3 linked regions of the Mus musculus genome follow. The protein of the gene in region 2 purifies or fractionates together with the protein of the main gene of each other region. This does not show direct contact. Links are inferred from orthologs where the notes say so. Each region holds a gene or a part of one and is shown on either strand. Other genes may lie near its edges. The genes, in order: Llgl1, Dnaja2 and Pld2.

What was found.
Region 1: the proteins of Dnaja2 (region 2) and Llgl1 purify together in Homo sapiens (co-immunoprecipitation; 3 studies listed by BioGRID and IntAct, with this or other methods). This does not show direct contact. The link is inferred for Mus musculus from reciprocal best matches to the Homo sapiens genes DNAJA2 and LLGL1.
Region 3: the proteins of Dnaja2 (region 2) and Pld2 purify together in Homo sapiens (affinity purification with mass spectrometry; 3 studies listed by BioGRID and IntAct, with this or other methods). This does not show direct contact. The link is inferred for Mus musculus from reciprocal best matches to the Homo sapiens genes DNAJA2 and PLD2.

The regions. Positions count from the first base shown.
Region 1 is NC_000077.6:60,702,610-60,706,256, forward strand, and holds part of Llgl1 (lethal(2) giant larvae protein homolog 1), read left to right. Parts: intron 1-174; coding exon 175-272; intron 273-2,059; coding exon 2,060-2,141; intron 2,142-2,241; coding exon 2,242-2,372; intron 2,373-3,357; coding exon 3,358-3,513; intron 3,514-3,583; coding exon 3,584-3,647. UniProt on the Homo sapiens protein: Cortical cytoskeleton protein found in a complex involved in maintaining cell polarity and epithelial integrity. Involved in the regulation of mitotic spindle orientation, proliferation, differentiation and tissue organization of neuroepithelial cells.
Region 2 is NC_000074.6:85,553,058-85,556,804, reverse strand, and holds the start of Dnaja2 (dnaJ homolog subfamily A member 2), read left to right. Parts: upstream 1-1,443; 5' UTR 1,444-1,557; coding exon 1,558-1,635; intron 1,636-2,828; coding exon 2,829-2,888; intron 2,889-3,394; coding exon 3,395-3,618; intron 3,619-3,747. UniProt on the Homo sapiens protein: Co-chaperone of Hsc70. Stimulates ATP hydrolysis and the folding of unfolded proteins mediated by HSPA1A/B (in vitro).
Region 3 is NC_000077.6:70,550,125-70,553,771, forward strand, and holds part of Pld2 (phospholipase D2), read left to right. Parts: exon of another isoform or gene 1-1,004; coding exon of another isoform or gene 1,005-1,055; coding exon 1,056-1,139; intron 1,140-1,261; coding exon 1,262-1,340; intron 1,341-2,329; coding exon 2,330-2,440; intron 2,441-2,573; coding exon 2,574-2,744; intron 2,745-3,210; coding exon 3,211-3,337; intron 3,338-3,647.

The sequences.
Region 1 (3,647 bases), on a different chromosome or scaffold from region 2:
GCACCAGCATCGACATGGACAATACTCAGGTCCCAGGTGCTATCCCCACCTCTGATGGTGCTGGGATTCCTGTTTTCCGGCTCTCCGTGTGGGGAGGTGGACAGCACCTTCTGGGCCAATTAGAAGCAGAAGCCCCAGGGTATTTTGCCCATAGAACCCTTTCTTCCCTCATAGACTGTGGAGCATGGCTTCCCCAATCAGCCCAGCGCCTTGGCCTTCGATCCTGAGCTCCGCATCATGGCCATCGGCACCAGATCTGGGGCCGTCAAGATGTATCCTTTGCTTCTGAGGTGCTGCTCACTTCATGCTGGAGTCTTAGCATGGCAGGTGCTTCATGGAGACAGCTGTGCTTGTTGGGGCTTCTGAAGAGGTCGCTGTGCCTGTGTGCCTGTGATGACTCCTTTCGGAAATGAGAGGGTCTTTTGGTTGGGAGATGGGTGATTGGAGGGGAGGTCGGTTTGCAGTAACAATGGCTGTCCCTTGCTGCCTTTCAGCCTACCAATTCTTAGGTAATCCTACCATCATCTTGGCAGCTGTGACTGGGGCAGTTAGGGGTGGCCTGTGAGCCCTGATGAGAGAAAGAGTACATGTGTACACACACACACACACACACACACACACACAAATACGAAGACCCCATGTGTTCAACCCAGGGCGGGAGGGCAGTGCCAGGCTCAGCATGGTGAGCGCAACACTGCCCCCATCTGGACACCGATGCCATACAATGGGCTGAGTGAGCTGTACAATGCAGGCATTTTCCTGTAGTCCAGGGTGGGGGTGGGGCAACAGGCTGCTGAATGTCTCCTTACTCTGGAAATAGCACCCTAACCTGCCTTCAGGAAAACTTGAGGTGCAGAGTCTGGCTAGAAGCAGCTTGGTAAAGGTGCCCCTCCACCTGCTCACCAAGAGCTGGAGCACTAGGTTGGGGTGGGAATGTGGCTCGTGGTTTATGAGGTAATGTCCCTTGTCAGGGAGTGTGGCTGGAGGGGATGTCCTTCCCTCTGTTGTGGGCCACTGGGTGTTTGGTGGGACAGTTACCAAGATGAGTGCTGCTTGCCATTCGAAGACCCGTGGATGCTATGCTGCTACTCCACTTGCTGTGACCTTGTACTGGGTTAGAGGTATCCACATCAAAGGTGTCCATATCAGAGTTGCCCATGGTCTACACTGCCAGGTGCTTAGAGCTGTCCTTGTGGGTATTGCCCTCGTGCTTAGTATACATGAGGAAGCCAAAGCTAGATCCTCCTTCTCTTCCCTTTTTCCTCTCAATTCCTGTAGCCATGAACTCCTGAGGTTGGGAAACTGAGGCTGGAAAGTGCCACAGTTGGTCTCTAGAGCCTCCCTTCCCCCTGCAGGGCAGTCTCATCTCCCAGGAGACTGTGCTTCCTGCCAGCTGCCCCTGTCCTCTCTTTGTCATCCTTGCCAGCCTCTTCAGGGAGTCCCAGCTCAATATCCAGGCAACTGCTCCTTCCTTGTCACTGGGACAACATCACTGACCCATCTCTTAGCTCTCTTGGGCCCTTTCAGCTTTGCTGGCCTCCATCAGTCCTGGAGTTTCTGGGTCTCGGGGCACTTGTTCAAACAGGTCTCCCGTCTTCTAGTCTGTGCTCATCTGGAAGCTGAGTAGTGGAAGCTGTTGGCTACCTGCTCTGAAGGGAGCTTGGGGTTCTTGACCATGGTCAAGAGTTGTTTGATCTGGCACTGCTCTGTTCTGCTTAGGCCCGTTAACCTCTACTGCAAGGCGCTTGGTCCGTGCAGGTGAATCCGCGGCCTCGTGTGTACCATGCCGGAGCCACAGTGCTGAGCAGGTGATTAGTCTTATTCCATTGGCACCAGCTTTCTGGTTTGAGTCATTGGCCTGCTGTACAGATGAGGGCTTGAAAACCTATATCAGTACCCTACTGGGGGCGCTGTGTGGGTTCTGTGGGCACCTCAGATACAGGAGCAGAGTTGCTTTAGGAAGTGGGGGTCATCAGGAGACTGCCGGACTCCTGGATGGGCAGAGCCTGTCTGACTGTCCTAGCTTGTCTGCACGTTTGTTCTTGACAAGTTACCTTAGCTATGGTGCACCCGGAGTGGAATTTACAGGCCTACATCGGGACGCAGCCACCGTCACCCAGATGCATTTCCTCCCTGGTCAGGTGAATAGCTCCCCTCCTTTACTAGCACCAGGTGGTCCCACCCCCGTGCTCTCCTCCCCTTCAGGCTACCCCCATTTTGGTCTCTGCTCCGTCCCATCAGGGCCGCCTCCTGACCCTGCTAGATGACAGCAGCTTGCATCTCTGGGAGATCATCCATCATAATGGCTGCGCCCACCTGGAGGAAGGCCTCAGCTTCCACCCACCCAGCAGACCCAGTTTTGACAATGCCAGGTACTGGAGGATCAGGCTGGGACTAGCCACTGGGCAGAGGAATTAGAGAGGGCCTATGAGCCTGCTCTGCTGAAGCAGTGCAGACACAGTTGGGCTCTGCTTCAGGAGCCCTGCCTGGATAGAACCCTTCTTGAAGTGGTATCCTTTGAAGATAGGGTTAGAGGTGTGGCCAGCTGAGACTGAGGCCAGTGGGCAGAGACTGTGTTTCCCACCGTGGGAGCCTTTAGTTTTGGGGGTCCCAGTGAATAGAATGTTATATACCCAACTCCTTAGACCTTTAGGCTGGCACAGTACCCTCTAGGGATTTGGGACAGTTCTATGCCAAGGTAATATCAGCAAAGTCTCAGGCTGGCCTTGAATTTTTAGTGATCCTCCAGCCTCAGTCTTCCAAGTGTAGGGTTACTGGTGTGTACCCCCATATTTGACCTTCCTGCTGGTTTCTTGAGTTGGGATCGGCTGGGCCATGGTTGATAGTCGGGAGGGTTCTCCAGGGTAGGCTTGGTGAGGTGCTGGCTGGATGCCTGGCTGTGCATAGCAGGCCGGGCTCCCCAGGTGGAGAGCCTTGCCCTCAGGTGTGCTGGAAATAGCTGCAATGGGATAGACTTTGCCCACAGGTTAGTTTTTCCTGGCCTGGCCTGGTCACTGTTTGGGCCCCTGATGTCTGAGGTATCTGGAAAGCTGGTATTGGGGACCCTGGCTGGGGCAGTGCTCTGATTCTGCCTGAGAGAAGCAGGGTAGTAAGTGATCTGTGAGTCTTTTGGGACCTGGAGAACTTATTTTTATCCCTTTCTTTGCTGGCATGCTGGGGGATAATTGAGTAGGCTAATTACACTGCACATAGCCTTCCCAGGGTGTCAGCCTGTGCTGTGAACAGGCCCTGTGAATGCAGAGAGGCATAAGAGAGCCCATAGAAAGGGTTCAACCTGTTCTGCCTTCCCCAGCAGGTAGATGGGCTCACCTTACTCTCTCTTCCTCTTTCCTGCAGTTTCCCTGCCAGTCTAACACGTGTCACTGTGGTCCTGCTCGTAGCTGGCAATACAGCAGCCCTGGGAACTGAGAGTGGTAGCATATTCTTCCTGGATGTAGCCACCCTGGCACTGCTGGAGGGGCAGACTCTCAGCCCAGATGTGGTTCTGCGCAGGTGAGCAGCAGGCAGGAGGACCCTCCCATTTCTGGGAAGTTCTCCTGACTCTCTGGGGCACTCTCTGCAGTGTGCCAGATGATTACCGGTGTGGAAAGGCCTTGGGCCCTGTGGAGTCACTCCAGGGACATCTG
Region 2 (3,747 bases):
GAGGAAGTAACCTCAGAAAATACATTGCAGAGCCAAGCTTACTGTTAAAAGAAGGCAGAGCCAAGCTCCCAGCTTATACAATCTAATTTCAGGACTTACACTCTTGAATGATTAGGGGTCTTTGTAAAATTCAAAGTCAGAAGAAGGATGATCTGACTTCAACATCTGCCCCAGGGTTATTTTGGCTGATCTGGGTGTGTGGGTGAGTGTTCCCTCTTCTTCTTTGTATGTCCCTTCCTGAAACTGGGTATTTGATCAAGAAGAGAGGCTAATCTTTGGCAAAAGGGTATAAAATAGCTGTGGTCCCCTGCTAGAAACCTCCAAATAAGTCCTGGAAACCAGATAGATAAGCTATATTCTATTAAAGAATTTTGACTCACATGTGAGAACAGCATTCATGTCATAAATCATACTTATCAGGAAAACGAACATCAAATAAGACAGGAAGGTTCACCAGGTTATGAATTAAGGAAAACACTACAGGTTAAGGGGCATTTTGAATAGCAGAAGGAGCATCTAACTTCTCATGAGACTCTTCTGAGCGTTCAGGTTAAATTTCAGAAGTCTTAGCACGGCAGTGAAGGACCTCCAAAACTCGGTCAAGAAGAATAACAAGAAAGGTGTATCACCTCCACTGACAGACTTATGGCCAATGAGCAATTGTTTCCCAGTTCAGGTTTTCAACTGACCAGAAGTGTTTTACTATCGGAAAACCAGTTGGAAGGCAAGCTATACATTCTGGAATGTGGTAAAGCACAGAAATCTTTCAAGCTAAAGCAAAACGAAACTCGACTGACAGCCACCAAGTGCCGGCACGCTGCCATACTGTCTTATGCCAACCAAACCTTTGGCGTTAGCTAATTTTAAAGCTGTCAAGTGAGACACTTGAACACATGATCCCGGTGGAACAGGGTGACTTTGGTTTATCTGGATGCCCCGAAACCAACTGGGAATGTGTAAAAAAGATTTGTCCTTTCCTCCGATGTGACAGGATGGCTATGCCTTTAAAACCTCGTCTGCTAGGTATAAATCTGAGTATTTATGAATGAAATTGTTTCCCCTACGCAGAGGTGCTGAGGGGGAAGTTAAGGAGATGAAATGAGTTAGTGAAGGTGTTGATGAAATCACATCACGGGCGTAACTCGCTATTTGGGAACCTCACACACTCACACCCACGTGCTGTTTTTCACCGTGGCCCCGGGGGGACCACCCCGTGAGGATTCCACGCCGGCTTCTTTCCCTCAGGCCTCAGCCGCACCGAGAGTTCTTTATGAACGCCGCACACCGCTCCCCTCCACTCCGCGGTCGCTCGCGCGTCACGGAGCGGCGACAGGAAAGGGCCCCACCAGCCGCTCTCGGGCGCCCACCGCCCAACCCCGCCCCGCCCGGCCCCGGAGGCGGGGCCTTGTGGCGACGTCATGGCGCTGCGCCGGGTCAAAGTTCAGCCCCGCCTGCCTCCCCGCGCCGTCTCCTCGGCCTGCGCCGCCGCCGCTCGTGGTCCGGGTCGCGCTCCTTCCGCTCCGCCGCCTGCTTGCGAGTGCTGCCCGGCAGGCCGCCATGGCGAACGTGGCCGACACGAAGCTGTACGACATCCTGGGCGTCCCTCCCGGCGCTAGCGAGAACGAGCTGAAGAAGGTACTGGAGCGAGCCGGCCGGCGGGCGGGGCGAGGGCGCGGGGCCTGCGCGGTCTGGGCGGCCTGAGCCGGGCTGAGGCGCGGCGGCGGCGGGGGCGCAGTCGGCTCGGCTGACCTTGGGCCTCCGCCCGCCCGGCCCTGCGCAGACGCGGCCCGCCAGCTCGGCGCCCGGGGCCACCCGGAAAAACAGGTCGGACCGCGGTGCTCGCGCCGCCGGGCCGGGGAGGAGCTGACCGCCGGCGCCGGTGTGGGGCTGAGGGCCGCAGCCCCCGGCGCTGAGCAGGCTCCTCCCTCAGCCTCGCTCGCCCGGCAGCTGGAGCGGCGTGGGTCTGTTTGGAAGCATTGTTCTGTGGGCTGGAGATCTAAATACCCCGTGGCCGCTTCGGGGATGAGTCGTGTGCCCCAGCCAAACACCTGAGCGTGCACTCCCTAAAAATAAGACACGTCTTATTGTTGTCCTTTGTAGTAGTTCCAAATCATCTCGGGACTTGGGGTATTAATAAAGTCAGCATCTTCTCTGGCTGTCGGGATCCAATCCGCATTTGTAAACTGAGAAAAATAAGAATGTCCCGTAAGTACTGGGACTGGTAAAGTCCAAAGAAAAAGACTTCCTGTTACCCTACCGGAAATGGTAGGCTGTGTTATATAATTCATGAGTCTGTGTGAGGACTTACATGGTGCTTAACCACATCGCTTAATTGAAAGTATGTAGTTTCACCACCACCTAAGACCCCAGTTAGCCGACCGTGTGCGAGTAAAACATCACTTAGGACCTCCTGGGTGTCCTGTTAGAGGGCAGGCAGAGGAGCCAGCCAGCATGGGGAGAGATACTTGGTAGAAGTATCCTATGCTTAATTTGTAGTAGTGCTTGAGTTTCTGTAAAACGTAGTCACTCAATCTAAAATTTGTTTGGTTATTGTGGTCTCCTTGGTCTGGCTACTGGCCATCAAAGACATTTGATAATAGTTTGTAAAAAAAGAAAGAAAAAATGTTTCAGTATCTTCTTTGTTGTTTTATTTGTATTTTTCTTCAGTAACTTTGGGTATATTATTAGTAAATACTATTGAAGTGGAAAACGTTAAATAATAAGTGACATTTTTTGGAAGGCTGTAACTTTAGAACATTGCTTCTCAGAAAAGTGAATATCTTAAATTGTTTGCTGTGTATAACTCTTATCCAAAATCTTTTTTGAAGGCATACCGAAAGTTAGCCAAAGAATACCACCCTGATAAGAATCCAAATGCTGGAGACAAAGTAAGTCATTGAGTTTTATTCTTAAACTGAAACTTAAAATATATCACCCTCCCAGAAAGGAAAGTCCATTTATGCCTACAGAGTGAATTTTTCGCTGTTATTTTAATTTACTTGAAAATGACCTTAGTAAAACCTATTGCTTGTAATATTCTTCAAAGATAAGAAAAATTATAGCTATTGAGATAGCTCTGTGTTCCAAGTCTTGCTACCATATAAGCCTGACTACCTGAGCTTAATCCACAATGGAAGGATAGAAAGTTGTCCTCTGACCCCCATACATACTCCCACACTCATATGCATATATAATAGTGATGGTGATAACGGTCAGAGGACTATAGTTTTACAACGAGAATTCTAAGATATTTAGCAGTAGGTGATGAAGAGGACCAAAAGGAAACCAACTGAAACTCAAGGCTTTTTATTGAAGTTAAGTGGCTTCTGAATTTCTGAAGTCTTTCTCACATCCTTACACTAAAAAATCCAATTTTTTTACTTTTACTTTATAGTTTAAAGAAATAAGTTTTGCATATGAAGTATTGTCAAATCCAGAGAAGCGAGAGCTGTATGACAGATATGGAGAACAAGGCCTACGGGAAGGCAGCGGCGGAGGCGGTGGCATGGATGATATCTTCTCACATATTTTTGGTGGAGGATTGTTTGGCTTTATGGGCAATCAGAGTAGAAGTCGAAATGGCAGAAGAAGAGGCGAGGACATGATGCATCCACTAAAGTGAGTCTCTTTAAAAATGCTTCTCCAAACGGTGTTCCTTAGAGGGTGACTACAGAATATTTTGTCCTTTGTTTCAAAGTTCTTACTTTAAAATGTGTTCTTATTAAGTGACATTAATTAGATGTATTT
Region 3 (3,647 bases), on a different chromosome or scaffold from region 2:
ATGGGTTGTTGGCATTTATTTATTTATTTATTTATTTATTTATTTATTTATTTATTTATTTATATGTAAGTACACTGTAGCTGTCTTCAGACACTCCAGAAGAGGGAGTCAGATCTCATTACAGATGGATGTAAGCCACCAGGTGGTTGCTGGGATTTGAACTCCGGACCTTCGGAAGAGCAGTTGAGTGCTCTTACCCACTGAGCCATCTCACCAGCCCTATTTTTGGTTTTTTGAGACAGGGTTTTCTATGTATCCCTGGCTGTCCTGGAACTCACTCTGTAGACCAGACTGGCCTCGAACTCAGAAATCTGCCTGTCTCTGCCTCCCAAGTGCTGGGATTAAAGGTATGTGTCACCACTGCCCAGCTATTTTTTATTTTTGAGAGACAAGGTCTCACTCTGTATTCCTGGCCAGTCTAGAAATAACTGTATAGACCTGGCAGGCCTTAAACTCACACAGATCCACCCTGTCTCTGCCTTCCAAATGCTGGAATTAAAGGTGTGTGCTACTATGCCCAGCCTTTTTTGCTGCTTTTTAGACAGTCTTACTATGTAGCTCAAGCTTGTTTCAAACTCTTAGTAATCCTCTGGTCCCAGCCTGGAATTACAGGCCTATGTACCACACCCTGCCCTAATTTCTTGTTAATGAGAGAACTGAACTTCTTACCCTGTGACTGCCCATCTTAATATCTGCTATGAGCTGTCAATTCTCAGGCTGCTCATTTTCAGCTGGATTCTGCATTTTTTCTTTGTGTTTGCTTTTCCTTCCTGTTTTCTGGAGCTCTTTTATATATGGTGTATTAGTCCTCCCAATCATTGGTCAGTTTCTTTAATGTATTGTGTGTCTTGTCATGTTTATTTTGCTCCCACTGGCACACCATACCACCATACCGAATAATCCCACCTGATGTATTTGAATGAGCTAACCTCTCTGATCATTCCTGACCTTTGACCCTGCTGTCACCTCTGACCCATGGCTGTCCTCCGGTCTTCACTCTCCAGAACTTTCTGGCTTCTGACTCCCCTGACCTCCTTGGCTTGGACTCCCCCCAGGTTTGTGAATGGGGCAGGTTACTTTGCTGCTGTGGCAGATGCCATCCTGCGAGCTCAAGAGGAGATTTTCATCACAGACTGGTGGTGAGTGAGGTCAGGTCCACCCAAGAAGGGAAGTGGGCAGCAGCACAGCGCAGGGGGGCAAGGGAGGAGGGGCTGTTTGTCTTCAGCATAGCTTGCTCCTTACCCATTGCCCTGGCTTCTAGGTTGAGTCCTGAAATTTACCTGAAGCGTCCAGCCCATTCCGACGACTGGAGACTGGACATTATGCTCAAGAGGAAGGCGGTGAGGAGTGGTTGGCTCTGGAGAGAGGGGTGTGTGTGTGTGGGTGTGTGTGTGTGTGTGTGTGTGTTGTGGGGGGACGTTATTGGAAGGACTGCGGCTCGAATCTTCCAAGGAGAAGATTGGGAATCTGAGGCTTCAAGACTGGGAAACGTACCCCTTCTGGCTCAGTGTCTATCAAATATCACCTCCTGGTTCCCTCTTTAGGGTACTAGTATAGACTAGGCGCCCACTCCTCAGACCCTTCCCTTTTTTGTACTATCTGGGAGTGTAGTGTTTATGTGTCTTTGCTAAGCAACACCACACATTCCAGTACAACAGTACAGCACCTGTCATGCAGCGAGCATTCATGAGCATTTTGGTTTTAAGACAAGGTCTCACTAAATAGCTTCAATGTGTAGATCAGGTTAGCCTCGAACCCATGGAGATCCGCCCTACTCTGCCTCCTGGATGCTGAGATTAGTGTGTGCCCCGCACACTTGGCATTTATGAATATTGACAAGAGGAAGGATCCACGGATGTTGGAGGGTGAATGGATAGACAATAAGAAAGAAAATGGGTGTGGTGGCTCCCACTGGTTATCCTAGCACTTGGGAGATAGAAACAGGAAGACTAGGATATGAATGAAGACTATCTTTGGCTACTACTGCGTATTATACCACTGTGGACTAAACACTGTGTTACAAAGGGGGAAAACAGTGAACAGGGAGATGGCTGGAAAGCTGTGAGTCGGGAAGGTGGAGGTGACAGAGAAGAATGATAGACAGTGGTTAAGATGATGAGCCAATGGTTGGGGAGCCGGCTGGCGGGATTATGAAAGGGAGGTGGGGAATTGAGTGGGCGAGCTCATGTTTGCTGTAAGCATCATTCTGGATGCACGTAGGAGAGCACCCTGGTAGGGTGGAGGGACATCCAGGAATCCTAAGCGTGGGAGTTGGATAAGGGCCACTCAGGGAGAGCCACTAGGAATTGATTTTCCCCCTCACTACCAGGAAGAAGGTGTCCGAGTTTCCATACTGCTGTTTAAGGAAGTGGAGCTGGCCTTGGGCATCAACAGTGGCTACAGCAAGAGGACGCTGATGCTGCTGCATCCCAACATAAAGGTGACGTTCAGGCCTGAGTCCCTTCTACAGCACAGCCACTTCCCGTCCTCTTTAACCCTTCCTCTCCTGAAAAGTCTCATCCTCCATCTTCTCACTTAAACCCTCCCCCATGTGCTCCTTCACCCTACTCTAGGTGATGCGACACCCAGACCTTGTGACACTGTGGGCTCATCACGAGAAGCTCCTGGTGGTAGACCAAGTGGTGGCATTCTTGGGCGGGCTGGACCTGGCCTTCGGCCGCTGGGATGACGTGCAATACCGACTGACTGACCTGGGTGACCCCTCTGAACCTGTACATTTACAGGTAATTGCCCCAGGGCTGTCCTCCACTCCCCACAAACCCAGGTACTCCAAATTTACACCTTTCCTAGAACTGCCAACCCAGCCTTTCAGAGGCTCCAAGCTACTGTGGTGGTCCACATCTGTAATTCCAGCACTAAGGAAGCTCAGGCAGGAAGGATTTCAAGTTTATGGCCAGCCTGGGCTACACCATGGGATCCTATCTCAAAAAACAAAACAAAAACAAAAAACAAAAAAGAAAGAAAGAAAGAAAGAAAGAAAGAAAGAAAGAAAGAAAGAAAGAGAGAAAGAAAGAAAGAAAGGACGAAATAAAGAAAGCAAGCTCCCTCTCTCCCTTCATTTTTACTGACTCTAACTGCAGTTGAAGAGGGAGGCTGAGGAATCAGACTCTCTGGTGCAGTGCACATGCCTTCTCTTTGGCCTGGTCCCATGACCTCACCTTGCCTGGCTGTGGTGTGCTCTTCATACAGACTCCCACACTAGGTTCAGACCCTGCAGCCACTCCAGACCTCTCGCATAACCAATTCTTCTGGCTGGGAAAGGACTACAGCAACCTCATCACCAAGGACTGGGTGCAGCTGGACCGGCCTTTTGAAGGTGAGGCTCCCTTCCCCCAAAGGCTCCAGGAACTGGCAACTGGGACAGAGGATAGGATGAAATGGGCCAGGAACAGTGCTGCCTTCCCTCTGGAAGGCTCCTCCTCTGCATCTTCTTCCTTTTCCTCCTTGTGTTAGTTAGGGTTACTATTGCTGTGATGAAACACCATGACCAAAAGCAAATTGGGGAGGAGAGGGTTTATGTGGCTTATGCTTCCATATCACTGTTCATCACTAAAGGAAGTCAGGACTGGAGCTCAAGCAGGGCAGGAAACTGGAAGCAGGAGCTGATGCAGAGGTCATGCAGGGAT